Macaca fascicularis: one gene and its partners. The protein of the gene in region 5 interacts with the protein of the main gene of each other region in a pairwise test. Links are inferred from orthologs where the notes say so. Each region holds a gene or a part of one and is shown on either strand. Other genes may lie near its edges.

The links.
Region 1: the proteins of MORN4 (region 5) and SEPTIN6 interact in binary tests that used the Homo sapiens proteins (3 or more experiments, as listed by UniProt). The two-hybrid records come from large-scale screens. The link is inferred for Macaca fascicularis from reciprocal best matches to the Homo sapiens genes MORN4 and SEPTIN6.
Region 2: the proteins of MORN4 (region 5) and NUTM2F interact in a two-hybrid assay, tested with the Homo sapiens proteins (2 studies listed by BioGRID). The two-hybrid records come from large-scale screens. The link is inferred for Macaca fascicularis from reciprocal best matches to the Homo sapiens genes MORN4 and NUTM2F.
Region 3: the proteins of MORN4 (region 5) and SSX2IP interact in binary tests that used the Homo sapiens proteins (3 or more experiments, as listed by UniProt). The two-hybrid records come from large-scale screens. The link is inferred for Macaca fascicularis from reciprocal best matches to the Homo sapiens genes MORN4 and SSX2IP.
Region 4: the proteins of MORN4 (region 5) and RANBP3 interact in a two-hybrid assay, tested with the Homo sapiens proteins (2 studies listed by BioGRID). The two-hybrid records come from large-scale screens. The link is inferred for Macaca fascicularis from reciprocal best matches to the Homo sapiens genes MORN4 and RANBP3.
Region 6: the proteins of MORN4 (region 5) and BEND3 interact in binary tests that used the Homo sapiens proteins (3 or more experiments, as listed by UniProt). The two-hybrid records come from large-scale screens. The link is inferred for Macaca fascicularis from reciprocal best matches to the Homo sapiens genes MORN4 and BEND3.
Region 7: the proteins of MORN4 (region 5) and NUTM1 interact in binary tests that used the Homo sapiens proteins (3 or more experiments, as listed by UniProt). The two-hybrid records come from large-scale screens. The link is inferred for Macaca fascicularis from reciprocal best matches to the Homo sapiens genes MORN4 and NUTM1.

Annotation. Positions count from the first base shown.
Region 1 is NC_088395.1:125,955,916-125,960,156, forward strand, and holds the end of SEPTIN6 (septin-6), read right to left. Parts: exon of another isoform or gene 4,106-4,241; coding exon of another isoform or gene 4,038-4,105; exon of another isoform or gene 1,789-4,037; coding exon 1,550-1,788; 3' UTR 752-1,549; downstream 1-751. UniProt on the Homo sapiens protein: Filament-forming cytoskeletal GTPase. Required for normal organization of the actin cytoskeleton. Involved in cytokinesis. May play a role in HCV RNA replication.
Region 2 is NC_088389.1:124,462,754-124,467,733, forward strand, and holds the start of NUTM2F (NUT family member 2F), read right to left. Parts: upstream 3,064-4,980; coding exon 2,999-3,063; intron 1,352-2,998; coding exon 1,194-1,351; intron 1-1,193.
Region 3 is NC_088375.1:149,992,277-149,996,517, reverse strand, and holds part of SSX2IP (afadin- and alpha-actinin-binding protein), read right to left. Parts: intron 2,262-4,241; coding exon 2,111-2,261; intron 261-2,110; coding exon 124-260; intron 1-123. UniProt on the Homo sapiens protein: Belongs to an adhesion system, which plays a role in the organization of homotypic, interneuronal and heterotypic cell-cell adherens junctions (AJs).
Region 4 is NC_088393.1:6,705,215-6,709,455, forward strand, and holds part of RANBP3 (ran-binding protein 3), read right to left. Parts: intron 2,143-4,241; coding exon 2,039-2,142; intron 1,326-2,038; coding exon 1,247-1,325; intron 369-1,246; coding exon 266-368; intron 1-265. UniProt on the Homo sapiens protein: Acts as a cofactor for XPO1/CRM1-mediated nuclear export, perhaps as export complex scaffolding protein. Bound to XPO1/CRM1, stabilizes the XPO1/CRM1-cargo interaction. In the absence of Ran-bound GTP prevents binding of XPO1/CRM1 to the nuclear pore complex.
Region 5 is NC_088383.1:106,562,169-106,565,175, reverse strand, and holds part of MORN4 (MORN repeat-containing protein 4), read left to right. Parts: intron 1-1,831; coding exon 1,832-1,946; intron 1,947-2,374; coding exon 2,375-2,484; intron 2,485-2,736; coding exon 2,737-2,885; 3' UTR 2,886-3,007. UniProt on the Homo sapiens protein: Plays a role in promoting axonal degeneration following neuronal injury by toxic insult or trauma.
Region 6 is NC_088378.1:68,135,020-68,139,705, reverse strand, and holds the start of BEND3 (BEN domain-containing protein 3), read right to left. Parts: upstream 3,375-4,686; 5' UTR 2,988-3,374; intron 1-2,987. UniProt on the Homo sapiens protein: Transcriptional repressor which associates with the NoRC (nucleolar remodeling complex) complex and plays a key role in repressing rDNA transcription.
Region 7 is NC_088381.1:10,631,170-10,636,152, reverse strand, and holds the start of NUTM1 (NUT family member 1), read right to left. Parts: upstream 3,026-4,983; 5' UTR 2,976-3,025; coding exon 2,621-2,975; intron 1-2,620. UniProt on the Homo sapiens protein: Plays a role in the regulation of proliferation. Regulates TERT expression by modulating SP1 binding to TERT promoter binding sites.

The DNA of each region.
Region 1 (4,241 bases), on a different chromosome or scaffold from region 5:
CTAGCGTGTGAGCTGCAGAGAGCCAGGCCTATATACGCAGAGCCAGGCCTATATACGTGGAATATACGTGGGTACTTTCTGAAGCCTCCAGGCCTCCGTAAGGAAAGGATGCGTGCCCTGATGTCCGCACCCTGGCCCTTAGGCAAGCAAAGTTGAGGAAAGTTTGTTTTCCTAAGGGCCACCAGAGTTCTTTAAAGTGACAACTCTCTCTCTTGCCCACTTTAATGCTTGGGAGGATGGGAGGCTCCGCTCTCTAGTAGACCCAGGACACAAAATACTCCCTAGTATCTATAGAATGCTTTTTGAGTGATGAAGAATAGTCATATCCATGAATTTGGGGGGATGCTCACATCACAGGAGTAAATGAGAGAAGACACGTGGTGCAAAGTTCTTTTCCTGCCAGAATTAAAACTCACCTGAATCTTGTTCCGTAGGCTCTGGCACTCTACTTTCTCCATCTAATATACTAGATGATAATCAGCTCAACTTAGTTAAATCCATGCTAATAAAGAAAAAGTAGAGGACTTCCTGCACACCTCCACCCCAGGTGGTGGGAATTTCAGGCCCAGATGGAAGAAAGTTAGAGGGGGCGGGCACAGGGGATGGCAACCCACCTAGGAAGATTTCATAGGCTGACGGTGCCTCCCTGAGCCCTTCAAATCACCCATTCAGAAGGCAGCCACCCACTCCTCCTCAGGCAAACCGTGGTGGGCCGCATCACCCAGTGACTTAAGATCAGACCACACAGCCATTCAGCATTTCTTTGAATTTTATTGAAAATTGACATGGACATTAGAAAGGTAGTAAGCTAAACAGTGCTGGTTCTGGGATGTTTCTCCTGGAGAATGAAAGCCCCAGAGGGGCAGTGACTGGTCACACCTTTGAGCAAAAAGAACAAAGGAGAAGAAAGGAAAAGCACACACAGATTCTGGAAAACATGCAAAGAGGCTCTCTCAAGAGACACTGAACAGCAGAATGGTGGTGATGATGGTAGGGATCTATGAGAATGAGCACACTCACATGGTATTTTGATGCAAGTTAAACCAATGAATTCAAGGCAGATTTACCAACATCAAAGCTCTCCCTCCAGATCCCAGGTTGAGCAGAAACCTCTCTCAAAACCCCAACTGGTCTCAGAAGGTGGAATGGAGTAATTTTGCCCTCACTAAGCTTAAACCCCCTCCCTTCTCTCCCTTCTCTCCCTTCTCCACCTGAGTGTTAGATAGTGGACACATTTTTCCCCTTTGCTGGAATCTATAGAAGGTCTGTAAATGCTGAAGAAGATAAAAATGTCACTTGACTTTCTCTTCCATATTCAGAAATATTTTAACAGTGGCCGTAGACAGTCAACCCATCGAACCAGAGAAATGTTTAAAAGAAAAACACAAAACGCAAACAAAACCTTGTGAACAGAACAGTACTTCCACACCCACAGCTGAAGTGTCCTGCCCCAGTCACTTACACTTGGGTGAGTGGTCCTGTAGTTGTTTCTCTGAGGTTACATTTGGTCCATTTTCCAGCTCTGATGGTTCTTTTCCTGCCTTGTTAGTTAGGACAAGACACTTCCATTTAAAATACCATGTGAGTCGGGAAGAGAGCTTCTTGCCTGGACACAGGGACACATGAACACTTGTTGGGTGGTGTGGCGTATGTGTGTGTGCTTGCAGTTTGAGGGGAGAGGGAATTGGTTGATTTCTGATTTGAGACAATATGGAACCCTAACTCTTCTATAATGGCAGTCTTCTCCTTTAGACTTAGTGCAGCTGCTGAAGACAAGATTAAAAAAAGCTGGAGAGGGAGAGAGAAAGAGAAAGAAAACATGAGATTAGCCAAAGAAAGAGGACATTCAAAGTAAGACAGGGGGAGGGGAATGGGCAGTACTGAGGTAGCACAGATTATAGTTTGAGAAGACAGGTTAGAAATGGGGGTCACTGTTGGGCCATCACCACAGGGAAATCTGCTGAGAAGGTTTTAAGAACACCACACACCAGTTTAAAGCTTCTTGTTTTAATTAAAAACAAGCACATTATTAACAGCCACATGTGAATGCCAAATGATTAAAACATAAAAACAAAAACAAGAGCCATCTACACTGCAGCTAGGGAAAGCAAACTTCTTGGCTTAGGAGAAGTGAGGGATGTGTGTACGTGTGTGTGTGTGTGTGTGTATTTCAGAAAAGCCACTCCAGTCTGGGAAAATAAAAGCACAGACCATTGCTAATGACTGGTTTTGTTTCACCAGAAGTAAACAGAGTACTTAGGGTATTTTTTTTTTAAATAGTAACAGTTGTACTAATTTTTTGTTGTTGTTGTTGAGACGGAGTCTCACTCTGTCGCCCAGGCTGGAGTGCAGTGGCCGGATCTCAGCTCACTGCAAGCTCCGCCTCCTGGGTTTACGCCATTCTCCTGCCTCAGCCTCCAGAGTAGCTGGGATTACAGGCGCCCACCACCTCACCTGGCTAGTTTTTTTGTATTTTTTTAGTAGAGATGGGGTTTCACTGTGTTAGCCAGAATGGTCTCGATCTCCTGACCTCGTGATCCGCCCCTCTCGGCCTCCCAAAGTGCTGGGATTACAGGCTTGAGCCACCGCGCCCGGCCTAGTTGTACTAATTAAAACACCTTTTCATTGAAGAAGGAAAAAATCTTTCTGTCTACAGTGAATAAAGCCACCCAATGAAATACCCATTTTAATGGGCTTGATCAACTTTTTATGTTCACTCATGGGTTTGATTTTTGTTTACCAAACTTCCCTGATTATAATGGTCACCTAGGGCACCTGTTACACACAGTCTCCTGGACCCCGTTCCAGCCTTGCAGCATCACTGGGTTAAGGAGCTGGCCCAGCATGCCTTCATTTTGCCAGCCCTCACCCAATCCATCTTCAGATGTTTTTCTGTGGGAAAAAACCTCGAGGGTCTTCTAATACTAACTATTCAGTTACTCTGAACATCAAAAGGCCTCGTATCCAGGAACGTATATAAACAGACTGAATCCCTTTGTGAAATGGATTGGGAGTCAGGAGGCATGAAAATTAGTCTGGCTTCTGCCTGGAAACAGCACTGGGACCTTGCTCAAGTCCCTTCCCTTCTCTGGGCCTTCATTTCCCCTTACGGAGTAACTAGGTTATATCGTCTTACTGACTAAAATGTCTCCCTTAATATAAAACTCCTCTTTAGTTTCTGAAGGTCTCTCCAAGGCTGTGTGGGTCTAATACTTTCGAAGTATTCAGAGCTTCTCAAGCCTTAAGTAGTTAATCTGTACAGAAATGCAAATGAGGGCGCCTCCGGTTTGTAATGCAAATAATTACCGGGCGGCGGGGTCAGGGGTGGTAATTACCAGTTGGTTTTTTAAGCGTGAATTTCTGGGAAAGCAGCTCTGAAGCTGGACATAGAATCATCAAAGTTGCAAATACGAAGCCTTTCCCAGGGAGACCTGACAGGCCTAACTCAGCATCTCTCTGAGCTACTGGCTGAGTATCTGAGCAGATTTTTTGTTGTTGTTGTTGGTTTGTTTCTACCTCCAAGCATATGGTCTTCAAAACAATACTCCACCGTAACTTGAATTTTCCCAAGAAACTGGCTTGTGCTTTGGCAGCATCACCTTTATACTTGCTCTGGTCACTCACCAATCAGTAGAGCACCAGACGGTACACAGCAAACCTACACTTTTGCTTTGCCAACAAAAAAAAGGAAGTACGTGCATATGTTTGCTTTTCATTTTTTTCTTTTTGCTTCCTACTATGATCTATAATCGAAGCGAGAAATCCCCTTCCCCTTCTCAATACTTCAAAAAGGCCTGGAAATTTGGCATAACCTTGTTTGACTGTGTGCTTTGAAAGTAAGTGATCAAAAAAAGAAACTCTAAAAAAAAAAAAAAAAATAGAAGGTGGTCATGGTCAGTGCCAGTGGGGCTGGGAGGCAGGAGCAAGTTGCGGAACTCAAAAAGAGGTGAGCTTGAAGTACATGGCAGGGTAGGGGTGGGGGGCCTGGCTGCCTGGCACCCCAAAGGAAAGCTGTCAGTTAAAATAGAAACCTCGGCTTAAAAGGCTAAATGGAGTCCAGTCCAGCTGTAGCGGGGAATACTATTCAGTACACAGCCATGGATTACTGCAAAGGAAGGGCAGAGAGACGGCACGTTAGCCACAGATCATTGCCAGGTCAACTCCCTCTCTCACACTGTCACTGGCCAAACACCAAAGGCCACTGTGCCTCATAACCCTAACAAGGGAGGGCTCTCTACTTC
Region 2 (4,980 bases), on a different chromosome or scaffold from region 5:
AGCATCACAGGCATCTCCCAAGCCATGGGTCAGGGATGAGTCTCTCAGCGGCTTGGTGGTCCTCAGCGTGCTCAGCAATAGGAGACAGGCCTACCCCAGGGCAGTGCTCGGCACTGAGAAGGCCGGCAGGAAGCCCGAAGCTTCCGAATATTATGGCCCTATCTCCTCTTCAGTCTTCCTTTTCCTGAAGCTCCTGTAAACTCCTTTCCTAGCTCAACACCACAAAAGAAAACCACTGGATAGGCCGGGCATGCTGGTTCATGCCTGCAATCCCAGCACTATGGGAAGTCGAGGTGGGCGGATCACCTGAGGTCAGGAGTTCAAGACCAGCCTGGCCAACATGGTGAAACCCCGTCTCTACTAAAATACAAAAATTAGCTGATGGCGCATGCCTGTAATCCCAGCTACTCAGGAGGCTGAAGCAGGAGAATTGCTTGAACCCAGGAGGCAGAGGCTGCAGTGAGCCAAGATCACGCTACTTCATTCCAGTCTGGGTGACAAAGCGAGACTCTGTCTCAAAAAAAAAAAAAAGAAAAAAGAAAACCACCGGATGGAAATCTCACCCAAGCCAGTGCCCTAGGAACCCCAAAGATAAACCATAACACATCATGCCCAGCATGCAAATGATTGTCCTGGCACCACCCACACAAGTGCCAAATGGGGGTCAGATTCCGGCCACCCGTTCCTCAGTGCTCAGTGGTCCCAGCTGCCACTCAAGAAGCTCTGTTCCCAGGGAGCATGTCTGAGAGGCAGTGGTGGAGTCCCCTGAGATACTGTCACCGCACAGCCAGCAACAGCTGCACACGATTAGAACTCAGCCAGCAACTGGTGAGCAGCAGGGCTATCAGGGGAGGTGCCCAGGGATTTTCACAGCTGCTGGTTATGTTACAATAGGTAGTGGGACAAGGAAGCATCTCTGATCCTTCTCCTTTGAGCTCCCAATAACTGAACATAGTGACCAACCAAGAACCAGGGGTTCCTGGCCCACGGGCCAGGTGAGGCAAAGTTGTCTGAAACTCATCCCTGCCCACTAGGACCCCATGCAGTCTCTAGTCAGGGGGAATAAGGGATACAGCACATGCACCTCATCATTCAGGACACATATCCTAACTTGAATAATAATAAGAGAACCATCTTCCTATTTGTGCGCTACTTTCCTTTCTCTACTGAAAAGGAAACCAGCCTTTCCAGACCCTTCCACTGAGAACCAGCAAGAATCCACACCTGCCCCCTGTTCATGAGGTAGTATACGTGGAATGGGGCAAATTCTTCATCTCCACAGTAACACAAAGTGCAGGGGACGGGCCATGAGCTAGCAGACAAGAGGAAGTGGGTCTGAAGACCTGAGCTTCTACAAAAGGGCAAACAATGCAGAACAACTCAGGAAGCCCAGGCCATGTGTTACCTGAACTTCCCCATCTGCCCCCACCCCTGTTGCATCAAAGCCAACAGCTACCTGAACTGATGGAGCAGCCAGCTCTGGGGAGGAGCTGAGAGGCTCTGGGCTGTGGCAGTTATAGTAGCCCCCAGCCTCGCCCACCCAGAGGCTGTCACTGCATACTCTGTCACAGCCAACCCACCCAACAGTTTTCTGGCTGAGATCATTTCTCCCCACTCCTCCCTCAGAGCTAGAAAACTCCAGTCCAAATCCCTCTGAACACTATGGAAGGGCACCTTCCAGGTGCCTGAAGACACAACACAGGGCTCAGGCTTGCCTGTCATCCTCCCGTGGCCACCAGTACAACATGATCCCACTACTCCCTACAAACACACAATGACGTGACCTTTCCCCCTCCAGAAAGGATCAATCCATCCACTCCATCCTTTCCCCTACACAGTGTATTCCCGCAGGCATCTTGGTCCACCTCTAAGGAGCCGTCCTCCCTAACCACAGACTCAGGGTGCCATGGCCATCCCCAGCTGTGATGTCTTTGGGGACATCCAGTGCTCCCTCCCTCTTCAACATCAGCCCTATCAGCTGTCCCCAGGGGAAGTTCAAATTTGAATTCCCAAGGAGTTGAGGCATGGCAGACTCGGATAATGCCCCCATCCCTACAGGCTCACCTCCATTTGAAGCCATCCCCTCAGGCTGGGCACTGACCACTGCTGTCTGGCAGTTTCCGCAATGAGAAAAGTCAAGGGCAGGACCCAGAGAGTGACCTGGCTCAGCAGATGCTCCTGAGTCCAAGTGGAGCAGGGAAAATTTGAATGTAAATAGCTTTGGAACATAGGACCCCAGACATTCTGCAGAGGGGGAGGGGCGGTGGGCAGCTGGGCTTGGCAAGGGTGGAGGACATTCTGTGAAGAGCTCTGGCCAGTAGGCAAGAACCTGAGTTTCCCTTCCAACTGGATGGCAGCAACACAGACGGTGTGGGCCCCTTTAGGCAACTTTTAAATTGTCCTTCTGACTCACAGTACCTGATGTCCCCTTTACTTCATTGTACCTGATGTCCCCTTTACTTCATTCTTTATCAACAGACCTACTTTTGTGCCATTCAACCCATGCTCCTTCCCACTTTGGCTCTTTCCCACTCTTGATGAATTTCAACAGGGGCTGCACTTCCCAGACAAAATTCAGAACACATTTTCAGTCTGAGAAACACAGGGGTTCTTAGGAAGGCAAGGGGACTGGGTGTTTGAAATCAGGATGGTCTCAGCCGATCCAGGCTATTAGGTGGCTGTGCGCTCATCATTGTTTACGAGGCAGTCCTTGTGCCCCCGGGTCATGTATGTTGCTGGAATCTCTGTCCACAGCAGCGGGCAGGCCTTACTTCCCATCCCCTTTCCTGGGAAGCCTCAGTCCAGGAAAGAGTGGCTATGCGACCTACAGCACCGAGACCAGAAATCCTTTCATTTTGTTTCCCAGCGTATTGTGCTGGTGTTAAATGTTTATTTTTTTATCTTTTACATGATTTTAACTCAACTAAGCAATACTTTTGCATGGTTCCAGATTCAAACTGTGTACAGTGGAATAGGCAGTGACCAGTCTTCCTCATACCTCTTTTCTCTGGCCACCACATTTTCTTTCCTGGACCAAACAGGTGTTATCTGATTCTTTTTCATCTTTCCAGAGATATATTATGCAATCAAAAGCATAATAAAGCTATTTTTGCTGTCTAAAAATATTTTGTTTTTTTGGGTAAAAATTAATATATATGTTCCAGTATTCTTGTGATACTTGCAGTGACCATGTTTGTCCCAGTAATGTGGTTCCTGTCTTTATTTCTGTAGGTAAATTGCTAGAACGAGATGTTGCTGTTTTTTAAAATTAAAAATACATGAAAGAACATAGTGGCCAGATTTAGCAAGTATGAATAAAGAATACCAAGTGGAATTTGAATTGAAGATAAACAGCGAATTCATTTTTACTATAAGTATGATCCGTATGATATTTAGAGTATACTTTTACAAAAAAAATCTGTTCTTTATCTGTGTTATTCACATTTCACTGGGATCTTGCACTTTATCTGGTAACTCTTCCCAAAAAAGTATAACATATTAGGCAATTATTGTTTTTATTTTATTTTTTATTTTATTTTTTGAGATAGAATCTCACTCTGTCGCCCAGGCTGGAGTGCAGTGGCGCAATCTTGGCTCACTGCAAGCTCTACCTCCTGGGTTCACACCATTCTCCTGCCTCAGACTCCCAAGTAGCTGGGACTACAGGCGGCCACCACCATGCCCGGCTAATTTTTTGTATTTTTAGTAGAGACGGGGTTTCACCGTGTTAGCCAGGATGAGTCTCGATCTCCTGACCCTGTGATCCGCCTGCCTCGGCCTCCCAAAGTGCTGGGATTACAGGCGTGAGCCACCACGCCCGGCCTAGGCAATTATTGTTAACTCTCCACTGTGAGAGTGAGAACTTGCAGTAAGGAGACTCAAGTGTGAATCTTGGCTGCACCGCGAAAAGATTCTGCACCACAACCATTGCAGAAAACAACAGCAGGCTGATTTGATGAGAGGAAGTCAGGAGTAGCCATTATATCCTTCTCAGCTTCCAGGTTTAGTGGCAGTATGCAGCTTTAAGGGACAGGAGGGCAGAGCACCGTCTTTTTCTTTCCGAACATAAAGCAGCTTACAATTCCTAGAACTCCGGTTTCTCCAGGAGTTAGAAATTCACTACCCATGTCCATTCTGAGACAAGCGAGGATGCTGTCCACCAATGTCCCATCCCCATTCCCATGCATCCCCTCGCACGTGTGAATCCTGGCTGGCCTCTCTCAGCTCACTGTTGGCCTCATCTTCACCACAAGTGTCATTGCATGTGGTTCTGTGTGGGAATTATTGTAGCCTGTCTTTAAAAAAAACTTCATTCTCATTTTCACACTGAGAATTGCTGCTTATCAGCGTCAAAATGACAGGAAAGAGCACTCATGTTCTGTGCTGTGAACAAGGGGAGTTTTAGGAAACTGGTCAAAGGAGATGAGGAGTACTCAGAGCACAGCAACAAAATCTGAGACACACATGTCACTCCCTGCTGGGCAGGGTAATTTTGCACTGATGGGAGGGTGTTGGGGAAGGGAAGAGGCCGTCAGCCGGACTGGTGCACACTGTGAACATTCACTGAAACACACCCTGTTGGCACTTACGAAGCATTTGCCCCTTTCGAAGACATTTGGACTTAAGAAGGCAGAGTTGCAAGAAAATGTAATGGGCCACACCACAGGGGAAGGCGGTGGATTGCAAGTCTCAAGCCCAGGGTTCTCCCCTCCTCGCTCCAGTTGTGTGAAAAAGTCATTTCCTAACTCCTGTCCAATATCCTCTGAGTTCTCGATTTTGTCCCAACTCTAAACCTGAATGGTCCAGCGAGCATTTCTATAAAATGCCTCCACGGTGGCCACTGGGAGGGGAGTGACCTCCACGCAGTGACTGCCTGTCTGGGTGTTCCCAGGCCTTCTGTCCTGTGAGACAGAGCTGCCTTCTTACATGCAGCCCTCTTCTGCTGTGCAACTCTACCTCGATCTTAGCTGAGAAGATCAA
Region 3 (4,241 bases), on a different chromosome or scaffold from region 5:
ACGTAGACTAGAAAACTGTCAAATACCAGGGCCTTATGAAATAAAGGAATACAAATCTGCTAAGGTTCAGCACAATTCTGGCTTCTCATGGAGAACAAGTTTTACAAGGTAATTCATATTCACCTGCAAAAGCTGTTGCTGAGTTTTAATCATTTCTTTACACTGCTGAATTTCTAACTCAAGTTTTTCAGTTTCTTGTTCGTGGTCTTGTCGTGAGATAACATCTTCATCATTAAAACCTTCCAGGTGTACCTTTGAAACTAAGACAAAATCAGTAAGTTGACATAGGTTTTATAGCCACCATTTAGTTTACAGTGTTTCTACACATATCGTTAAAATAAGGGCTCTCAGAACTTTTATCTTTCTAGAATTTTATAGGTTTTCTAAAAAGTAGTTATGTCCTTTGGCTTTTTAAAATTTCATAAGCTATAACAAAATTACATTTATATTATTTTAACATTATAAAAAATTTTTAAGCAGCACAGCAACTACAGGAGTTCATGACAATTATATATTTGTACAATTTTAAGACTAAATGATATGCTTACAAATGGAGCTCTATTGCCAAGATTTAATTTGTAAACCATATTTATTCAAGATTATGTCCTAATTAAAAACAGACAAAATGGCCATATTCAGAGAAGAGAAAAATAAAATCATTATGTTTTTGTTGACACTGCTTCAAAGATCAATGACGTGTCACAAATCTTGCTCTCAAATATTAAATTCAACAAACACGAAGTCCAAACACACTTGCTATTTGCTAGTAGACAGCACTGACTCAAATGAACAAAATCTCGAGTATATTCATTTTGGTGTTGTAATAATAATTTTGCCGATTGCTCTTTACTACTTAACATAATGGCATTGAGTTCATATTTTGACAATTTAAATTTTTTCTTTACATAGGCTTCATTTACAGAGCAGAAATCTTCATTTTCCTAATTTAAAAGCAAACTTTACCAAGTAGAAAATATTAAGAATATATTCATCAATGTAGAGCTATGTATAAGGAAAAAGAATGTCTGAAATAATAAAGTGAAAAAAGCACACTAAACAAAAATATAGGTGACATTCAATTTTTAAAAAAATTTTAAAAATAAGTATCTTGCAAATCCATAGAGGAAAGTCTAGAAAAATATACACCCAACTGTTAAGTGTTATATGTATGGAATGGAGACCTGGATATTCTACTTTATGTACTTCCAAATTAATATTTTGCATTAAACATCTATTATTTTAAAAATAATTTTAAGTGAATTACTAGGAACACAGTAATCTGCAAGCATCTAGAAATAAGCAAAAAGTTCCTATCTATACTATGATAAATATTTCTTGATTTTTTGAGAGTCAGTAAAAAAGACTCAGTTTTCTCTCTTTTTTGGGGGGGAACAGGTGGTGTGTGGTTACACGAATAAGATCTTTGGTGGTGATTTCTGAGATTTTGGTGCACCCATCACCCAAGCAGTATACACTATATCCAATGTGTAGTCTTTTATCCCGGCTCAGTTATCTTTATTCGATTGTATACTGCATCCAGAGCAGATGGATCCATGATGTCCTCTTTTCAAACATTCACCCTGAGACCAAAGTGTATTTTTCTCAGTGAGGTTCAAACCTCACATCTAAATGTATGTAAAATCTTGGCTGTGCACTGTGGCTCACACCTGTAATCTGGACACTTTGGAGAGGCCAAGGCAGGTGAATCACTTGAGGCCAGGAGTTCAAGATGAGCCTGGCCAACACAGCGAAACCCCATCTCCACTAAAAACACACCAAAAAATTAGCTGGCTGTGATGCGCGCCTATAGTCCTAGCTGCTCAGGAGGCTGAGGCAGGAGAAATCACTTGAACCTGGGAGGCGGAGGTTACAGTGAGCCGAGATCGCACCACTACACTCCAGCCTGGGTGACAGAGCAAGGTTCTGTGTCAGGAAGTAAAATAAAATAAAATGAAAAAATAAATGTATGCAAAATCTTGCTTTCAAACCACCAAACTGAAGTATATAGTACTTTAGCTCTGAGCCTACAGATATAGCTTTCTAAGTGACTGAAAATCAACACCTTACCAAATGTCACAACTCACTTTACATGCAGAGAAGCAGTGGTTACCTTGGTTATCAAGTTTTTCTACATGACTTTTCAAAATTCTCCACTGTTTTCTGATGCTGTTTGTAAGCTGCTCTCTCACAGTTTCACAGGAAAGGTCCCACATGCTCTCTCTGCTCAGTTCCCCGGCATCTTCTTCAACATCAGAAATAACCTACAAGTGGAGAGAGATGAAGAGGAAAGGCTACCACCTTACAATGGCTTTAGATGCTCAGGCAAGTAGTCTTCAGTTTGATTTCCAGAGGGAGCCGCATCCGAAGCATTTCTGTGCTGTGTCTTATGCACATATGACCCAGTATTTAACATAAATGTCTTGGAAAAAAAAAAAAGAAAAAGACAGAGACTCCTAAATTCAGCTCGCTCTAAACCTGAATTTGAATCCAAATACAGTTAATGACAAGAGTCATGAAGCTGTCTGAGGAGATATCAATAGCTGTCTAATGTGTTGGATGTTTTCACACGTTATTTAACCCTCAGCTCATTACAATGTAGGAAAACTGAGGCTTAGAGAAGCAGCATTACAACTAAGAGGCAGAACTGATATTTGACATTAGATCAACTTGTTTCTAACCCTAGGCTGCTTAAAGAAACACATTTGTGAAATAATCTCTGAAGTACTTAATAGAAGCAACTGTTAATTCTATTTTCCTCATGTACTTTTGTATACAACTGGAGATATTTTTCTTTGTATTCTGCCAAAACATGAAATCATAAAGAAGTAGCAAACTTTACTGATATATGATCATACAGAATCAAAGCAGGATAAAGAACATGGGGAAACAATACTAAAATGGATATATGTCATAATAACCCACATCTACATAAAGTAGTTCTAATTTGTCATTAATATTCAGGAAGGTAGAAAGATACGCTTCACTAATTTGAACAATAAAAATCTTGCTGGGGTAAAAAGGAAGACAAAAGCTGAAAAGAAAGAAGGGCTGATTCGACTGCTCTCACATAGAGATCAGCAGGATGAGGGAGCAACTGAGTCTGAAGAACTCTATCAGTAGTTGAGGTCAGCAACGGCTAGTAGAGGTCAGGGATTCAGAGGCAGAGCAGACAGGGGAATGGCCCAGGATCTGGCTCATGGTGATTCTAGCCCCTTCCAATCCTCAAAAGCTACTTGCCAGTAACTGTTTCAAGGAAGCACAACTTGTCTTCTGAACATTTTAAAGCCTATTAGAATACTACGAATCTGTTAGAAAAATTATTGGCCAGGCGCAGTGGCTCATACCTGTATGTAATCCCAGCACTTTGGGAGGCCGAGGTGGGCAGATCACAAGATCAAGAGATCGAGACCATCCTGGCCAACATGGTGAAACCCTGTCTCTACTAAAAATACAAAAATTAGCTGGGCGTGGTGTTACATGCCTGTAGTCCCAGCTACTCAGGAGGCTGAGGCAGGAGAATCGCTTGAACCCGGGAGGTGGAGGTTGCAGTGAGCCAAGATGGCACCACTGCACTCCAGCCTGTAAACAGAGCGAGACTCTGTCTCAAAAAAAGAAAAATGAGTAATTATTGCACATTTCTCAGATTGAACAGAACTCTGTAACCACAAAATGAAAATTAAAAATTTGGCTGGGCACAGTGGCTCACACCTGTAATCCCAATACTTTGTTAAGGCCAAAGTGGGATGACTGTTTAAGCCCAGGAGTTCAAGACCAGCCTGGGCAACAAGACCCTGCCTCTAAAAAACCAAAAAACAAAACAACAAACTCATTTTACCTGAATTTTTGGTATATGTTTTAGCTACAAGTAAGTAGGTCAAATAATAAATGAAACCTGGATGCTACCTAGGCATTCCAAACATTACATCTTATTTCTCTCGCTATAATGCTTCAAAAATCTTTCCCTACAAAAATGAAAGAGAAAAGGGAGCTAGAAAAATGGATCTTTTAAAACTAGAAAATATATTCAAGAGATCGTTGTTAGTCCACTTAAACATCTGAATTATGAAGAATTATACAGGATACTACCCACTGGCTGAGTAATGGGGGTGAGGAAGGTTTAATCACTGGAGAAAGATCTCCCTGATTTGCCACATACTTTTGCTGACTGAAATCTGGTGATGAGACGTTAAGGTTGGACCAAAAACTGAAGACGCTGCAGGAGTAACGGACACTATGCTAAC
Region 4 (4,241 bases), on a different chromosome or scaffold from region 5:
GCCTCCCCACCCTCCCCACAGCCACAAGGCGACACAGCCCCTCGAGTAACAGTCTTATCATAAACCCCTGTCTCTGCTCACTGCAAGGCAGGACCCTGGAGGTCACGGCCCTGGCTTAGTAGCTGGTTGACGTGTGGTCGTTACTGCTGCGGGAGTTGGGCCCCTTATCCCTCCCGGCTGGGGGTGTGAATGGACCCAGCATCCCCTCATCATCCCCCAAGATGACCTACCATGAGCCCCATGCAGCGGCGAGACGGTAACATACCTTTCTCAGGGGTGGCCTCCTGGGACGAGGACTCAGACCCTGACTCGACAGCTGCATTTTCCCTGTTGGCATCTGAACTGACCTCGTTTAATTTTGGGGGGCTCTGCAGGCATACAAGGAAGAGGGAGCTTGTGCGGTCCTTCAGCTGCAGCTCTGAGCACCTCTCTGCCTGGCCCCCAACACCATGCTGCCCCCAGCACTCCTGCCCGCTCCTGGTGACACCCTGAACTGCCTGGGAGCTCCCCACGTGGTCCCTCAGGCATCAGCAGGGGGTGAGTGCCACCAGTCGACAGTCCCCTCGGACCACACTGGACACTCCGTTTGGGTGAGGCAAGACTTTGACTATTTCATTGAAATAGAAAAAAGGCAGCGTGGCCATAAAGGAAGAGAAGCTGCAGAGTCCTTAATGCAGCATAACTCAAGACAGCTAGAGTGACCAGGCAGCTCAGGACAGGCCCTCACGCAGTCACAGTGGAGCTGGGTGGAATCAGGAAGGAAAAGGAACACATGTAAAGAGGTAGGCAAGCCATTCTAGAACCCTCTCCCAGGCTGGCTGGGCTCCTGGGAACGGAGACGGGCCTTTCTTGCACTCAAAGCCTTGGCCGCGGTTATGCTCACAGGAGCAGGGAGGCCGGCAGCCCTGTCCCACACGACTTTTGTCAGTTGGCCTGGTGGAGAGGAACCGTGGACTCTGACTGCCAGCAGGGCCCTGCAGCCTCTGGGGAAGCCCATCTTGGGATGAAGCTGGCCCTGGTCAGCAGGGAGGAGCTGGGAAGAGCGAATGCCAGCTCCTGGGCGGCCAGTGGCCCCGGCCAGTTTTCACTCCAAGTCTGAGCAGGGTCTTCCCTCTCTCACTTGTTACTGAAGCCATCCCCATCTCACAAGGGACAACACAGCAGCCCCGCTCTCCATGTCCCCTCGATCTGGGGCTGGTGCCGAGCACCTCTGGTCCCCAAGAACATTCCCAACACGGCCACTCACCAAAACTCGCTCGCTCATGTTCTGGCCAAATACAAATTTGTTGCTGGAGGCGTCGGCACTATTGGTTGAGTTCTCTAAACTGAAGAGAAGATGTGCAGTGAGTGTGGGGGTGTCACGTGGGAATGTGGCTAGGCAAATGTGTGGGCACCCACGGAGCACACACTGGCGCAGAGGGCACAGTGGAGGGGTCTCCCCTACTGTGCACAGGGTGGCGTGTCAGAGGCAGGAAGCCACATGCCTCCCTGTGCCGTTGGAAACATGAGCCCTTAGCTCGCTCTGACGGAGGGACCCACAGCATGAGGGAAGCCACCTTCCAGCTGCTCCGCCCGCCCATCTCCCAGGCGGGACACGCTTTCTTCTGAGATACCTGGAGGGGCAGCTGGGCCGTGGGTAGCATCACCCCCAGCCACGTCAATCAAGGGCATGCTGAGGTCTTTGCCCCAGGTGCCCAAACCCAGGATAAGGAGTCGCCTCTAGCCTGCTCTGTTCTGCTCTGGGCATGAGGTCCGCAAGACAGAGGGCACACTCCAAGGGCTGGGCTGTATCCTCCATGGGCCCCTGGACAAGCCCACAGAACTCTGGTCCTGTCTCAGGCGTCCAGTGAATCACAGAACAAGGCCTACAATCCTGGCCCACCCACGGTTGTGCCCAGAGTGGGGAATGACAGGCCCAAGAGCAACCTGGATTGTGGGTCTGAGTCAGGCACGGGGACCACAGATCCCTCTGTGGCAGAAGCCCTTGCGGCCACCTGCATCCCCATGCTAGGCTGGCCGCTGGGCCCAAGACACACACCTGGAACTGATATACTGGAGGAAATAGTTCGTTGCGGTTGGCGTGTCTGCGCTGGGGTGTCCAGCATTCTCCATGTCAGCTTCGTCCACGCTCTCATTGATCAGCTGGGAATGAGACAAAGCGCTCAGTAATCGGGGGTGGGGTGGGGGCTGGGGTGGTGTCTGCAGAGCCCCTGAGCTGCATGGAGCTGCCGGGAGTCATGAGCCCTCTCCTGCACCCGGCTGGGTGTGCACGTGCACGTGCACGTGCTGGGGGGCAGGGCTGTAATCAACTCCACCACCTTTTGCTTTAACAGTTAAGACAGAAAGAGAGCTCATGAGGCTTCAAGGAGCCTTTTCCATCTCGTTATAAAACCACACCTAAGCTGGCCTCTCGGTCAACGCTTTGTACGGAAAACACAATGTTACAAAGTTGGTGTTTTGGGGGGTTTACTATGAACATGATAGAAACAGCATTTCTTGAGGGCCTCTTTCCTACCAGTTGCTATGCTGAGTCTGTCAAATGCACCATCTCCTTTAATCCTCATGAAGCCTGAGAGGGGGATGTTAGGGACCAACAAGGAAGCAGAGGCTCAGAGGGTTAAGAAACCACAGCTCTGGCTGGGCGCAGTGGCTCATGCCTGTAATCCCAGCACTTTGGGAGGCTGAGGCTGGGGGGGAATCACTTGAGGTCAGTAATTCGAGACCAGCCTGGCCAACATGGAGAAACCCCACCTCTACTAAAAATACAAAAAATTAGCTAGGTGTGGCAGTGGGTGCCTGTAATCCAAGATATTTGGGAGGCTGAGGCAGAAGAATCACCTGAACCCCGGAGGTGGAGGCTGCAGTGAGCAGAGGTCATGCCACTGCACTCCAGCCTGGATGGCACAGCAAGGCTCTGTGTCCAAAGAAAAAAAAAGAATCCATGGCTCACGTTTGCCCTGGAAGGAGAGGCTGGGATTTGACTGAGACTGCGAAGTGCACGCAAGCCTCTGACTTTTGCAAGAAGCCGACCCCACCAAATTCAAAGCAGCTGTTTCCCCAGACTCAAGGCAGAGACTCCACAGGGCCTGAGCTCCACGGGCCAAGCCCTTCCCCGCCTCTTGCCCTCCTTTCCTCCTTGGAGGGAGCAGCCCCTGAGGGACTCATTATTTTGCCTAAAGCCATGGCGACAGCAACATCAACTTTCCATGCTTCTCGACTTGGGCTTCTGTTGGACGGTGAGTAACAGAAAGGAAAGCAGAAAACGTGAGCCGGTCCTTTCTGCATGCTAGAGAGGTTTCTATTTCGAGGGCCCTCCCCATCGACACTACTGACATATTGCCATTGGGCCCAGATCATTCCCTGTGGTGTGGCTATCCTGGGCACTGCGACGGGTGGAGTGGCATCCCTGGCCTCCAGAAGTACCTCCCAGTTTTGACAACCACAAATGTCTCTAGACATAGCCACCGATGCCGCCTCTTGGGCTCTGAAAGAAACTTCTGGCCAGTGGAGTTTCTAGAGATGCTGCAGCACATTCCACGTCTATGGCTGAGAAAGGTGCTGCTGGCTGACCCTGGTCTTCCTAGAGTCCCAGTGCATGGTCCAGGGCCACTGTTCCCAACCACCGCCAGCCCCTCCCCACCCCACAGTCTCCAAACTAGGACCACATGCCTGGAGGGCAGCCAAGAGGTGGCAGATGCTTTGCTCCTTTTCAGGAGGGAAGACTGTGTCGTCACCCCACCCTGCCCCACTTAAAAAAAAAAAGGTGACAGTTCTTAATGGGGGCGATTCTACCCCACAGGGAATACTGGCCACGTCTGGGGACATTTGTGGTTGTCAGATGTCAGGAGCATTGGGTGGGTGGAGGCCAGTGATGCTGCTCAGCACCCTGCAGTGTCCAGGGTGACTCCTCAGAAACCAGGAATGGTCCAGCCATAATGCTGCTAGTGTTGAAATGGAGAAGCCCTGAAATACGGGAACAGAAATCTCTGGGCAGAGCTGAGAGCACTGGACCATGCTGTCTTTCTTTTCTGCTATGAAAGCCTGAGGCCGCAGGTTCAGTCACCTCCCCTGTCCCCTGCTACCATGAGTACCAGGGACTCTGACTTGAGAAGCCACTGCAGGTGAGGGCTCCAAAGCCTGGGCCGCTGGTGGGGAACTGCCAGGGCCCAGCACACGCATGCCAGCAGCTGACTATGCCGGGAGCCACGGGGCTGCCTCACTAACACCTTCTTTGTCCCACG
Region 5 (3,007 bases):
GGGATTACAGGCACCTGCCACCATATCCGGCTAATTTTTGTATTTTTAGTAAAGATGGGTTTCACCATGTTGGCCAGGCTGGTCTCCAACTCCTGACCTCAGGTGATCTGCCCACCTTGGCCTCCCTAAGTGCTGGGATTACAGGCATCAGCCACCATACCCTCTCTTTTAAGCGTTTTGTATTTATCATCTTATTTAATCCTCATGACAACCTTATCAGGTAGGCACATACTATTATTATTCCCATTTAACAGATGGGGAAATTGAGGCAAGGAGAAGCTAAGTAACTTACTCAAGATCACAGAACTCTAAGTGGTAGAAAAAGAAGGCAAACACAGCAGGCAGCCTGACTCAGTGTCCTCAACATCTAACTACACTGCCTCTCTGAGGAAAAAAAAACCAGTACCCCATTAGCACCTTAAAGCTGCTGGGCAAATCTAACAGCCTGATTGGCAGCACTGGTTTGAGCTTCGTTACGTCAGTGGGGCTGTGCTTACTCTCTGAACTGACCAGAAAACAGAGCAAGATGTTGCAGGAGTAATCATGCCTTTCAAACAGAATTCAGGGGAGTTCTTGTGGTGGATACAGCCCACCCAGTAGAGCCTCAGAAAGTCTCTCCTCTAACAGGCCACATTAGAGGGGACACCAGGTATTTGAAAACCAGGAAGAAAGGTGTGGGATTGAAGGAGGCAAGGTCACATCACACCTGTACAATTTCTCAAGACTCAGTAATTTAGGGCAGGCACAGTGGCTCACACCTGTAATCCCAACACTTTGTAATCCCAGCTACTGGGGAGGCTGAGGCAGGAGAAACACTTAAACCCAGGAGGCGGAGGTTGCAGTGAGCCAAAATCGCACCACTGCACTCCAGCCTGGGTGACAGAGCGAGACTCTGTCTCAAAAAAAAAAAAAAAAAAGAAGAGAGGCTGGCACATAGTAAAGGCACTATAAATATAGATGTTAGCTATTGTTATTTACTTATTTATTTTTTTGAGACGTGTTGCCCAAGCTGGAGTTCAATGGCATGATCTCGGCCCACTGTAACCTCCGCCTCCTGTGTTCAAGGGATTCTCCTGCCTCAGCCTCCTGAGTAGCTGGGTTACAGGAGCACAACACCACCACCATGCCCAGCTAATTTTTTGTTGTTTTAATAGAAACAGGGTTTCACCATGTTAGCCAGGCTGGTCTTGAACTCCTGACCACAGGTGATCCACCTGCCTCCTCGGCCTCCCAAAGTGCTAGAATTACAGGCGTGAGCCACTGCACCCAGCCAGCTATTATTTGTTTTTTTGAGACAGAGTCTCGCTCTTGTTGCCCAGGCTGGAGTGCGGTAGCCCGATCTCGACTCACTGCAACCTCCGCCTCCCGGGTTCAAGTGATTCTCCTGCCTCAGCCTGCCGACTAGCTGGGACTACAGGCACGCGCCACTGCACCCAGCTAATTTTTATATTTTTAGTAGAGACGAGGTTTCACCATGGTGGCCAGACTGTCTTGATCTCTTGACCTCATGATCCACCCACCTTGGCCTCCCAAAATGCTGGCACTACAGGCATGAGCTACTGCGCCTGGCCAGCTGTTGTTATTTTTAAGTGCTCTCTTATTCATACTTGGGTAGACTTGCTGTAATCTGTAGTGATAAGATGGGAAGGCCCCAGGAGCCAGGTTTTCCCAGTGCCTGACTCTGGCTAATAATCCTCTGCCCTGCTAATGTCACTGCTTCTCTTGTTTTCTTTGTGGGTAGGGTGATGGCAGGTAAGGGATGCTAGAAGAGTAAGAAGGGACCCTGAAACTGCCTCCTTCCAACCTGACACCTGTCCTTCTCTTTGTTCAGGCCGCAGGCATGGTTTTGGTCAACTGATGTTTGCAGATGGTGGCACCTACCTGGGTCATTTTGAGAATGGGCTCTTTAATGGCTTTGGGGTATTGACCTTCTCAGATGGTTCAAGGTGGGTATGAGGTCATTCCTTTCTTAGCCTTAAATAAGGGAGGGTCTGACATAAAAATGGGACACTGGTAAATATCTGGTCAATCCTGAGCTTGTCTCACTCCCTGCAGAACACAGATGAGGACTAAGTAGTCCTTTTATTGGTTATTTTTTAAGTGGACCTAAAATTTGAAATGTCAACCAAGTGAGTGACTTTCCACCCCACTCCCATTCCCATCCTATCTTCTTTCGTTGAGATCAGGGCTTCATGGCATATATACTCTGATCCTTCTCTGCTGGCTGGGACTAGATGGGGTAGATGGAGCTATGTGACAGGTGGAATCGGCTTGCTTCTTGGCATTATTAAATAACAGAGATCCGCAGCTGCTCAACTCCATTAATCTGGACAGCTAACTTCCCACTGAAGGCTAACTTCTGGTGTTTCTGCAGGTATGAGGGGGAGTTTGCCCAGGGCAAGTTTAATGGCGTCGGAGTCTTCATTCGATACGACAACATGACGTTTGAGGGGGAATTTAAAAATGGCAGAGTAGATGGTTTTGGTAAGTTGCAGCCCAGCAGGGTGGGTGACTTAGGTGGGCATAATATGGGTGGAAATATACCTGTTTCGTTTTAATCCTGCGGGGGTCCAGCAATCCATAGCGGCCATCCCTGACGCCTATCCATTGAACTCACCAATAGAGTGCTCCTGAGTAGAGCTGCGAGTTTTTCTCTTCTTCAGCCTCAACATATCGAGCTCACCTTTGAGGCATTAACGCCATTGTTACTCCCATGTTTTCTCTGCCCTCCTCAAGGCCTGCTGACTTTCCCCGATGGTTCTCATGGAATCCCCCGCAATGAAGGTCTCTTTGAGAACAACAAGCTGCTGCGGCGTGAGAAGTGTTCTGCCGTCGTTCAGCGGGCCCAGAGCGCCTCCAAGTCAGCCAGAAATCTCACTGCCTGACAGCGCGGTGGGCACCAGCTGACAAGTATTGGGTAAAGCCAGTGCGCCCCTTGTTGACTCGAGGTGAACAAATGAACCAGAGCTGAGATGAGTTGACAATGACAGTGGAGCAGAGGTCTTGT
Region 6 (4,686 bases), on a different chromosome or scaffold from region 5:
CTGGTTGACTAGCGGACCTTCACACTTAATGTTTCTACATTATACAATTTGAGGTATTTAAACTTTTCATCATGGTGTCAGTACAATTCATACAAACATGCTGTTTAGTTTCTCATTGCTTCCAGGGGCTTTCTAGGCAGTGCTAAAAAGTAGCAGGTGAGACATTAATATAGGATATTTTCACCTAATCAATCCTGCGTCAGGACTCACTCCAATTTTTCTCTGTGTAATTATTGGACATTCTGCTATGCTTTTGCTCACACAGGGGTGCTTAGGAGCCAAGAAAGTACCCAAAGGGAGAGGATGTAAAGAAAATGTGTCAATACGGCACCTTTTAATTGTTGGGATGCTGACTGTCTCGTCTGCCAGTTCCTAACTTGCTGGGCATGGGGAAGGTGGGTGGAATCACATAAAACTTTGTTATATTAGTTCTTCAGCAAGAAGATGGCATCGCTGGTAACAAAAAGAAAAAAAAAAAGGCTGGGCGCGGTGGCTGTAATCCCAGCACTTTGGAAGGCTAAGGCTGGTGAATGACCTGAGATCAGGAGTTCGAGACCAGCCTGACCAATATGGAGAAAACCCGTCTCTACTAAAACTATAAAACTAGCCCGGCGTGGTGGTGGGTGCCTGTAATCCCAGTTACTTGGGAGGCTGAGGCAGGAGAATCACTTGAACCCAGGAGGCATAAGTTGCGGTGAGCCAAGATCGGGCCATTACACGTCAGCCTGGGCAACAGGTGCGAAACTCTGTCTCAAGGGAAAAAAAAAAAGCTGGCGAGGTGGCTCACGCCTGTAATCCCAACACGTTGGGAGGCCGAGGCGAGCAGATCATGAGGTCAGGAGATCGAGACTATCCTGGCTAACACGGTGAAACCCCGTCTCTATCAAAAATACAAAAAATTAGCCAGGCATGGTGGCACACGCCTGTAGTCCCAGCTACTCGGGAGGCTGTGGCAGGAGAATCCCTTGAACCTCGGAAGTGGAGGTTGCAGTGAGCCAAGATCACACCACTGCATTCCAGCCTGGCGACAGGGCGAGACTCGTCTCAAAAAAAACAAAAACAAAAAACCATGTTCCCGCCGGGCACGGTGGCTGATGCCTGTGATCCCAACACTTTGGGAGGTCAGGCAGGCAGATCACCTGAGGTCGGGAAACTAGCCTGGGCAACATGGTGAAGCTCCGTCTCTACTACAAATATAAAAATTAGCAAGGCATGGTGACACATGGCCTGTAATCCCAGCTACTCGGGAGGCTGAGGCAGGAAAATCGCTTGAACCCTGGAGGTGGAGCTTGCAGTGAGCCAGGATGGAGCCACTGCACTCCAGCCCGGGTGACAGAGCGAGACTCCGTCTCAAAAACAAACAAACAAACAAAAACTCATTTTCCATGACAGGAGATTTTTGTGACAGATTTCAAGGGCCACACAGACACCAGCTAACCCAGCAGCAACTGGCTGCTCTGGCTCCATCTTTCTTCTAGAATCCAAGAGGCTCTCTCCATTCATTTAGGAAATATGCACTGAGCGTCTACTAAGTTATGAGACACTGGGTAAGAGGATGGGGATGTGAAACTGTGAGGGAGATTAAAAAATCTTGCCCAAGTCCCAGTACCGAGGGAAGCTTGACAGGCTCTTGTGGTATAAAGCCAAAATCTAAGGATGAATGGTTTTAAAAAAAGAGAAAAACGGACTTCAAGTGTGGAAGTGGGGAGCGGGTAACAACAGCACGTCCTCCGTCCCGGCCGTTTATATACCTGGCTAGCCTGAAGGACTCACTTCCTTACCTCAGTTTCCTGAAACCGTAGCTTTCTGGCACTATGCCACGGTGCCCTGTGGCATGTTTAATATTTGCATTTAACCATTCAAAAGTTACTTTAAGGAGATGAATTGCACATTTCCAACTCTAGTAAGTAACCTTGTTCCTCCCGGCACTCTTGTCGAGTTAGCCTTTACGCGCAGAATTCTTCCAGGTAGACCACCTGAGCAATCAATAAAACTTTTATCTCTGTAAAAATATCGTTTAAAATATCTACATAGGGAGACGTAGGTACACAAGCACACAAGGGCCTCCAAATCGGTGGTACACACCTCACGGATAAGACGAGGGCAAAGCATGCGTGGGAAACCACGTTTATCATAAAGGGAAAGGGGCGGTCACGAGGAGCCACGAGCGCCCCAGGCTTTAGCTTTGCTGCCGGCCGGCCAGGCCTCGCGCCAGCCCGGGTGCACACCCAAGGCGCCGGGCCCGCCTCCAGCTCCCGGGCAGCGGGAACCGCGAACCGCCGTGGAACGGCCGGGAAGGGAGCGCTGCGCCCCCTGGCGGCGGGGCCCATCCCTCTCCGCTCCCGGCCGCCGCCGCCGCGGGCCGGCCTCACTCCATTTGCAGCCTCCGTAGGCTTGGTTCCTCCGAGCGGCGGCTCCCCCGGCCTCCCGCTCGCCGCCCGGCATCTCCCTCCAGTCCCCGCCCCCTGCTCCAGCTCCGACACCCGCTTCCACACGCCGAGCAGTGCCCCGCCACAGCCCCGCCGAGCGCCAGCGCCAAGCTGCCGCGAGCCCGGCAGAGCCTTCCGGCCGCCCCGGCCGCTCCATCGCGGCGCCCGGCGGGGGTGCGGGGCCGGCGCGCGGCGCGAGTGGGGCGGGCGGCGGCGGCGGCGCGGACGGTTCCACCGCGCGAACCCCCCGTCCCCGCGCGGCGCGCGTGCTCCCCGGAACGCCATGGAGTCGCCGCGTTCCGAGCGGGCACAAAGGGGCGCGCAGCACAATGGGCGCGGCGAGCCCGTGGGCGCCCAGCGCCCGCTCCGGTGGCTCGGCCCGCGCGGGGGTGGGCGCTACTACCGGCAGGCGCGCTTCGAGCAGCCCCCCTCCGCGTCCCCTCCCCTGCTCCCGCCCCCACCCCGGCATGGATGTTGCAGCCACTCTCCCGGCTGCTCGCCCCGGAGCCGCCAACGCTGCCGCCGCCGCGCGGCCGGCTTGATCCGCCCCGCACTTACCTGGGACGCGAGTTCTGTACTTTGCCGGGCGGGCCCGCGCCGAGTTTGGGCGCCACGTGGGGGGAGGGCGCGGGGCCGGGGAGTGGGGGCCGCGCGCGGAGGGCCTGGCCGGGGCGGCCCGGGGAGGCGCTGGGGGCGGCGGGCGGGCGAGCGCCGTGTATTTTCCCCTCTCTTTGTGTGTGTCCGTGCGCTGCGCTCTCGCGTGACGTGACGGGACTCCGTGTGTCATTTCCGCACAAGGACACAGGAGCCCCCGCTGCAGTGGAACCACAACCCCTCCGCCCCCACCCCCGGCCCGCCCCTCCCCCTCAGCGGGGCACACGCGGGACCGGCGGCGGCGGCGCTCGGTCGTGAACGGCCGCGGCGGGGAGCTCGGGCGCGCACTCCGGGGACCCAGGCGGCCAGGCGAGCTCGGCGGGCGCAGTCGCTCCACGTGGGCCCACGCTGGCTGCCCGGGGCGGGGGCGGGGGCGGCGGCCGGGCACCCACGGCGCGGCGGGCGGGCGCCGCGAACGATGTCCCTTGTACCCCCTATGTCCTCCCACCGCGAGTCCGTCCTCGGAAACGTGGTTTCTCAGACCCGAGAGTTTGGCCCCAAACGCCTCTTTTTCTACTTTTTTGCCCCTTGCGGGACGGCGACTGTGCGGAGCTTCTCCCGCCTCGCGCCCACGCCTCTCCCGCATTTTTGGCTTTTGGGCCGCAGCCCAGGCCCCCGAAGCCGGTCTTCCCGCGCCGCGACCGGCACAAAGACCTTGGGGTGCGAGGGCCTGGGTGGCTTCTGCGGCCCCGCGGGGCGGCATGGAGTCCGGCGGGACGCGGGAGAGCGACCCTGGCGCTGGGAAAAGCTGGCTCTGGCCACTCCCCCTGCACGGTGGCCGCCCTCTGTTGTGAGCCTGGGAGCTAAAATCTTGCCTGCTACTTGCAACCCGAAGTTCTGGGGGGTGAGGCTGCGGAGCGAGAGCTTCGGAAGCGCCCGCGCTCACAGACACACACCCCACAAACACAAACCCACGGGCTGTCTGCGCCGAGCGCCTAAAATAGAAAAACACGAGTCACCAACTCAATAAAGGCTCATTCTGTCTACTCCTAACTCTTGGACTGTAGATTCCCAGTTGATAAAATATGAAATCTACCCTTCGGGTATTTTCTCAAGTCTCAGTGGCTGGGTGGGGGGAGGGGGAGGTGTTGGGTGAGAGTCAGGGAAGCCCAATTCAACAGTTTAGCCACGTTTGTATTTTAGGCAAACAATGAGGATGTAAATTTAAGAAAAATCCTTTAATTTGCCGATCAAAGAAAGTATAAAAAGAAAAATGCAAATGATCCCATCTGCTGCTCACAGCTGACTGGTTGCAAGGGAGGACCATGTGGCACGGCCCTGCGCGGGCAGTGAATAGGTAGAATAGATTTTTTAAAGAAGGCATATGTTGGCTCCTTGCTGCCCAGTCGCGGCGAGGGTTTGAATTAACGTATAGTTTGGGATTACCGTACCCTCCTCCTGACCACTCCAATTGGGAATTTAGTAATTATGCAAGTTCCTCCCCTTCGGGCTTGAAATCAAAAGGCACAGGGTTAAGTTTGAGGAACTACGTGGAACATTCTCGAGTTGTATTTGGATTGCTGGTTTAGAGAAGTCAGTACTAATTGCTATGCAAAATTAAGCCAGCAGTCTGAAAAACCAAGCCCTGCATCCAGGGGGTGCT
Region 7 (4,983 bases), on a different chromosome or scaffold from region 5:
CTAAGAAAATTCCTGGCAGACCTCTCCAGCCTCTCCGTAGGCTGTTTACTAAGATACAGAATTGGGTTGACACCTGCTCTGCAGGGAAAACAGCCCACAGCGGCCTCCGTGCAGTAAGGGAACTAGTCCACGGTAAGCTCCAGCCCCTCTCGAGGCATCCATAAGGCCTTTGAGAAGGAGGCACTTTCAAAAATATGACTGGCTCATTCCCTCCTCCTTTTCCTTTTCCTGTTGCTTCTTATAAATCTCTCTTAACCTAAAACAACAGAAGAAAGATTCAATCTATAAGCAGGAGCATGAGCCCATGAAGCTCAGACATCCTGTAACACATTCCACCCAGCATTCCACGTACATCCCCTATGCTCACCTATTCCAAACCAGAGACTCAAACCACCTGAACCCTGCTTCTCCCAGCTGCTCTGTGGCCTCTGCCACCACGCACAGAAGTACTGTTCCCAGGAGAGGATATGTGGATTGGATGTTTGGTTCCCAGAAATTTTGTTGTATAACAGCCAGGAATAATTAGAGAGGATTAGATAAGGACAAGGAAATGAGTGAAGGGAGGGCGGTGTGGGGAGAGAGGTTTCCAGATCTTTAAGTAACTGCTGGACGTGTTTGGCGATGCAGACTATCTGTGGCCCTTCTGCTTGGAGCTCCTAACATCAGAAATTTAGGGCTCACTAGGAACGAGGCACTGAGCTAGGTGCTAAGGACAGGACAATGAAGTCCTTCATTGTCACTGGTTCCAGCTGGGGAGGGGCTATGTGGACTCTAGTCAAAGAGACCAAGGATAAGTATACAAATGTGTACTTAATCAGAACCTATGTCTCCTAGGACTTTTTTTTTTTCCCCGAGACAGAGTCTCTGTCACCGAGGCTGGAGTGCAGTGGCGCGATTTCAGCTCACTGCAACCTCTGCTGCCTCCTGGGTTCAAGCGATTCTCCTGCCTCAGCCTCCCTAGTAGCTGGGATTACAGGCGGGCGCCAACACACCCAGCTAATTTTTGTATTTTTAGTAGAGATGGGGTTTCACCATGTTGGCCAGGCTGGTCTTGAACTCCTGACCTCAAGTGATCTACCTCCCTCGGCTTCCCAAAGTGCTGAGATTACAGGCGCTTGAGGTCAGGAGTTAGACACCAGCCTGGCCAACTTGGTGAAACCCCGTCTCTCTAAAAATACAAAAATTAGCTGGGTGTGGTGGTGGGCGCCTGTATCCCAGCTGCTCAGGAAGCTGAGGAAAGAGAATTGCTTGAACTCGGGAGGCAGACTTTGCAGTGAGCTAGCATCACACCACTGCACTCCAGCGTAAGCGACACAGTGAGACTCCATCTCAAACAAAAAAACAAAACAGGAAAACAACAGCAGAATATCACCTGCTTAAATCTCCTCCCCCTTACAAAAAATATTACACTGTCAAACTAACAACACCCAACTTCTGCATTCTGACCATGGCACACAAGCAAACTCAGATTCAAACTCATTTCAGCCACAGAGCAAAGGGCTGAGGGTATGTCGCTGAGTACAGAACACAATGAAAGGGGCCTGAAGGCCTGAGATCCATAAAAGGAAGAAAAACTAAGAGCATCTCGGTGAAGCCCCAGATCTCATCCTGGCTGTAATGACCCACCTCTCTGGCCCGGATGAATCCGGAAAAACTGCTTCCTGAACTCAAAGCGAAGCCACCTCTAGGGCTGGAAGGAGCCGTGAGGCTCTGAGCAGAGGCAGGATTTTTCTTTTTTTTTTTTTTTTGAGACCGAGTTTCGCTCTTGTTGCCTAGGCTAGAGTGCAATGACACAATCTTGGCTCACCACAACCTCTGCCTCTCAGGTTCACGGGATTCTCCTGCCTCAGCCTCCCGAGTAGCTGAGATTACAGGCATGCGCCACCATGCCCGGCTTTTTTTTTTTTTTTTTTTTTTTTTTTTTGTAGTTTTAGTAGAGATGGGGTTTCTCCATGTTGGTCAGGCTGGTCTTGAACTCCTGACCTCAGGTGATCCGCCCGCCTCGGCCTCCCAAAGTGCTGGGATTACAGGCATGAGCCACCGTGCCCGGCCAGAGTAGAGGCAGTTTATAATACATTCCAGCCTAGTTTTCAGGAAGGCATTTCTCTGCAACGGATAACTACAGATTATGTTTTCCCGCTAAAGTCCTTCCCACCTTACCCTCCCATCCTCCATCCTCCACATCCCATTCCCCTCATAGGCTCAAGCATGGCAAAATCCTAGAATAGGCTCCAGTTGCCTGAAAGAGACAGATGAATGAACGTGGGCATTCCCCCTTGAAACCTCTCGGTGCCAGTCCTAAGACACATACCTCTGATCCCCTCTCCCACCACAAGAACACACGCTGACGTGCCCCCTGTTCAAGAGAATCAAGTTGCTAATTGCCATCCATTCTCTATACTCAGCATGTGTCCTCGGAGACACCTTGATCTGCCCTTAAGGAGGTCCTCTTCCTTCCCCGGCCCCTAGTCTTAATGGTACAGTCTCCTTCTCTAGCCTCCCCAAGTGGGATACCTTTGATGGGGTGTAGCACCTCGCATTCCTTTAGGTCAGCCCAAAGAGCTTGTCCCAAAGGATTTGAGCAGGTACCAGAAATCCTCCTCACCACCTAAAGACTTACCTCCATCTGAAGCCATCCTCTCAGCTTTGGGCACTAACCGTGGCTGTCTGGAAGCCTCCAGAATGAGGCAGTCAGGTCCAGGACCCAGAGTAACCTGGCTCCAAGTAGGTGCACAGGGATCCAAGGAAGGGAAGGTAAAGATCAGATCAAACAGAACTAGAATATGGAACTCAAGGCAGTCTGCTGTGGGGGAGGGGAGAGGGGAAAGTGGGGTGAGGGTGGGGAGAGATATTCCATGAAGGGTTCTAGTAACTACGCAAAAACCAGGAATTCCCTTCAAACTACAGTTTGGCAACACAACTGATGTTCGCCCTTTAGGGCTATTTGTAAATTCTTTCTCAGATTCCCAACACATTACAGTTTTGAGTTTGGTTCCCTATACTTCAATTCTTCACCAACATATCTCATTTTGTGTCCTTCCATCCCAGCCAGTTCTGTAACTGACTTCCTATTAACAGCAGGTCGATGGTAGACCCCTGACTTAATCCAATGATGGCTATATTTTCTGAACTAAATTCAGACCACATTGGTCTGTATACTTAAGGATCAAGGGAACTAAAGTCTAAAATTAGAATTGTCAGATGATCCAAGGTGCTCAATTGCTGTGTGCACATCATTTCCTTGGAAAGCTGTCCAATCTACTAGCATAGGCTCTGTACTCCACAGAAGCCTTACCCTTTGCTGAAAAGCCTCACTAAATAAAAAAGCTGCCATGCAGTTTAAAACCTCAAGAGTAGAAAGTCCTTCGTTTTGTTAAATTATTTTGGTTTAAATTTTAAAAATAAAATGTATCTGCTAAGGTTCCTGGTGACTATTTCAGGCCAGTAATTCCCAGACCATCCTCTACAGCCACAGCTTCATCCAAACGTGGATTTCCCCCAAAAGACCTTCCCTGGGGTTCATGGCGTCTTTCTTGCTTTCTCTGAGATATCTTTTCTCTTTTCTAAAGACTCTTTCATTAATAAGACCTGAAGGCTGAAATCATCCTTTTCCTTTCTAACAAAATTAACTACTTAGACATACTTTTTTTTTTTTTTTGAGACAGAGTCTTGCTTTGTCGCCCAGGTTGGAGTGCAGTGGCATGATCTCTGCTCACTGCAAGCTCTGCCTCCCGGGTTCACACCATTCTCCTGCCTCAGCCTCCTGAGTAGCTGGGACTACAGGCGCCCGCCACCACACCCGGCTAATTTTTCTATTTTTAGTAGAGACGGGATTTCACTGTGTTAGCCAGGATGGTCTCGATCTCCTGACCTCATGATCCACCCACCTCGGCCTCCCAAAGTGCTGGGATTAGAGGTATGAGCCACCGCGCCCGGCCTTTAAAAAATTTTTAACAGGTAATACATTAGCAAGGTTCAAAAATCAAACTACAAAATAAAATACATAGCAATAAGTCTGCCTCCCACCCCTTACCCCTTTCTCCTGTAACTAGGTTCTCTATCTCAGAGGAAACCAGTATCATCTGTTTCTTGTGAATAATTGCAGAGATTTTTTATTCAACTACAAGTAAATACAAACCATATCTTTTTTTTTTTTTTTTGGGACAGGGTCTCTTGCTCTGTCACCCAAGCTGGAGACCAGTGGCGTGATCTCAGCTCACTGCAACCTCCGCCTCCCGGGTTCAAGCGATTCTCCTGCCTCAGCCTCCCGAGTAGCTGGGACTACAGGTGACCGCCAGCACGTCCCGCTAATTTTTGTATTTTTATTAGTAAAGACGGGGTTTCACCATATTGGCCAGGCTGGTCTTGAACTCCTGACCTTGTGATCCACCTGTCTCGGCCTCTCAAAGTGCTGGGATTACAGGCCTGAGCTACTGCACCCGGTCACAAACCATATTCTTTTTTTCAGACGGAGTGCCACTCTGTCACCCAGGCTGGTGTGCAGTGGCGCTATCTCAGCTCGCTGCAACCTCTGCCTTCCCGGCTCAAATGACTCTCCTGCCTCAGCCTCTGAAGTGGCTGGGACTACAGGCGCCCACCACCACACTCAGCTAATTTTTTCTGTATTTTTAGTAGAGACGGGGTTTCGCCAGATTGGCCAGGCTGGTCTCGAACTCTTGACCTTGTGATCCGCCCGCCTCAGCTTCCCAAAGTGTTGAGATTACAGGCGTGAGCCAACGCGCCCGGCCAAACCATATTCTAAAAAAAAAAAAACCTTGCAGGTTTTTCTGGTTACACAACATATATGCCAACGCTTTTGTCATTATAAATAAGGCGTAATGATGATCTTTGTAATTATATTTTGGTTCTCATTTTCATTTCTTTAAACGAATAAGGAGAACTTCTATATTCTTTAAAAAATTGTAAAATCTCCTAGAAGGTGCACTTTATTACGCTATTATTAGCTACTCACCACTGTAAGAA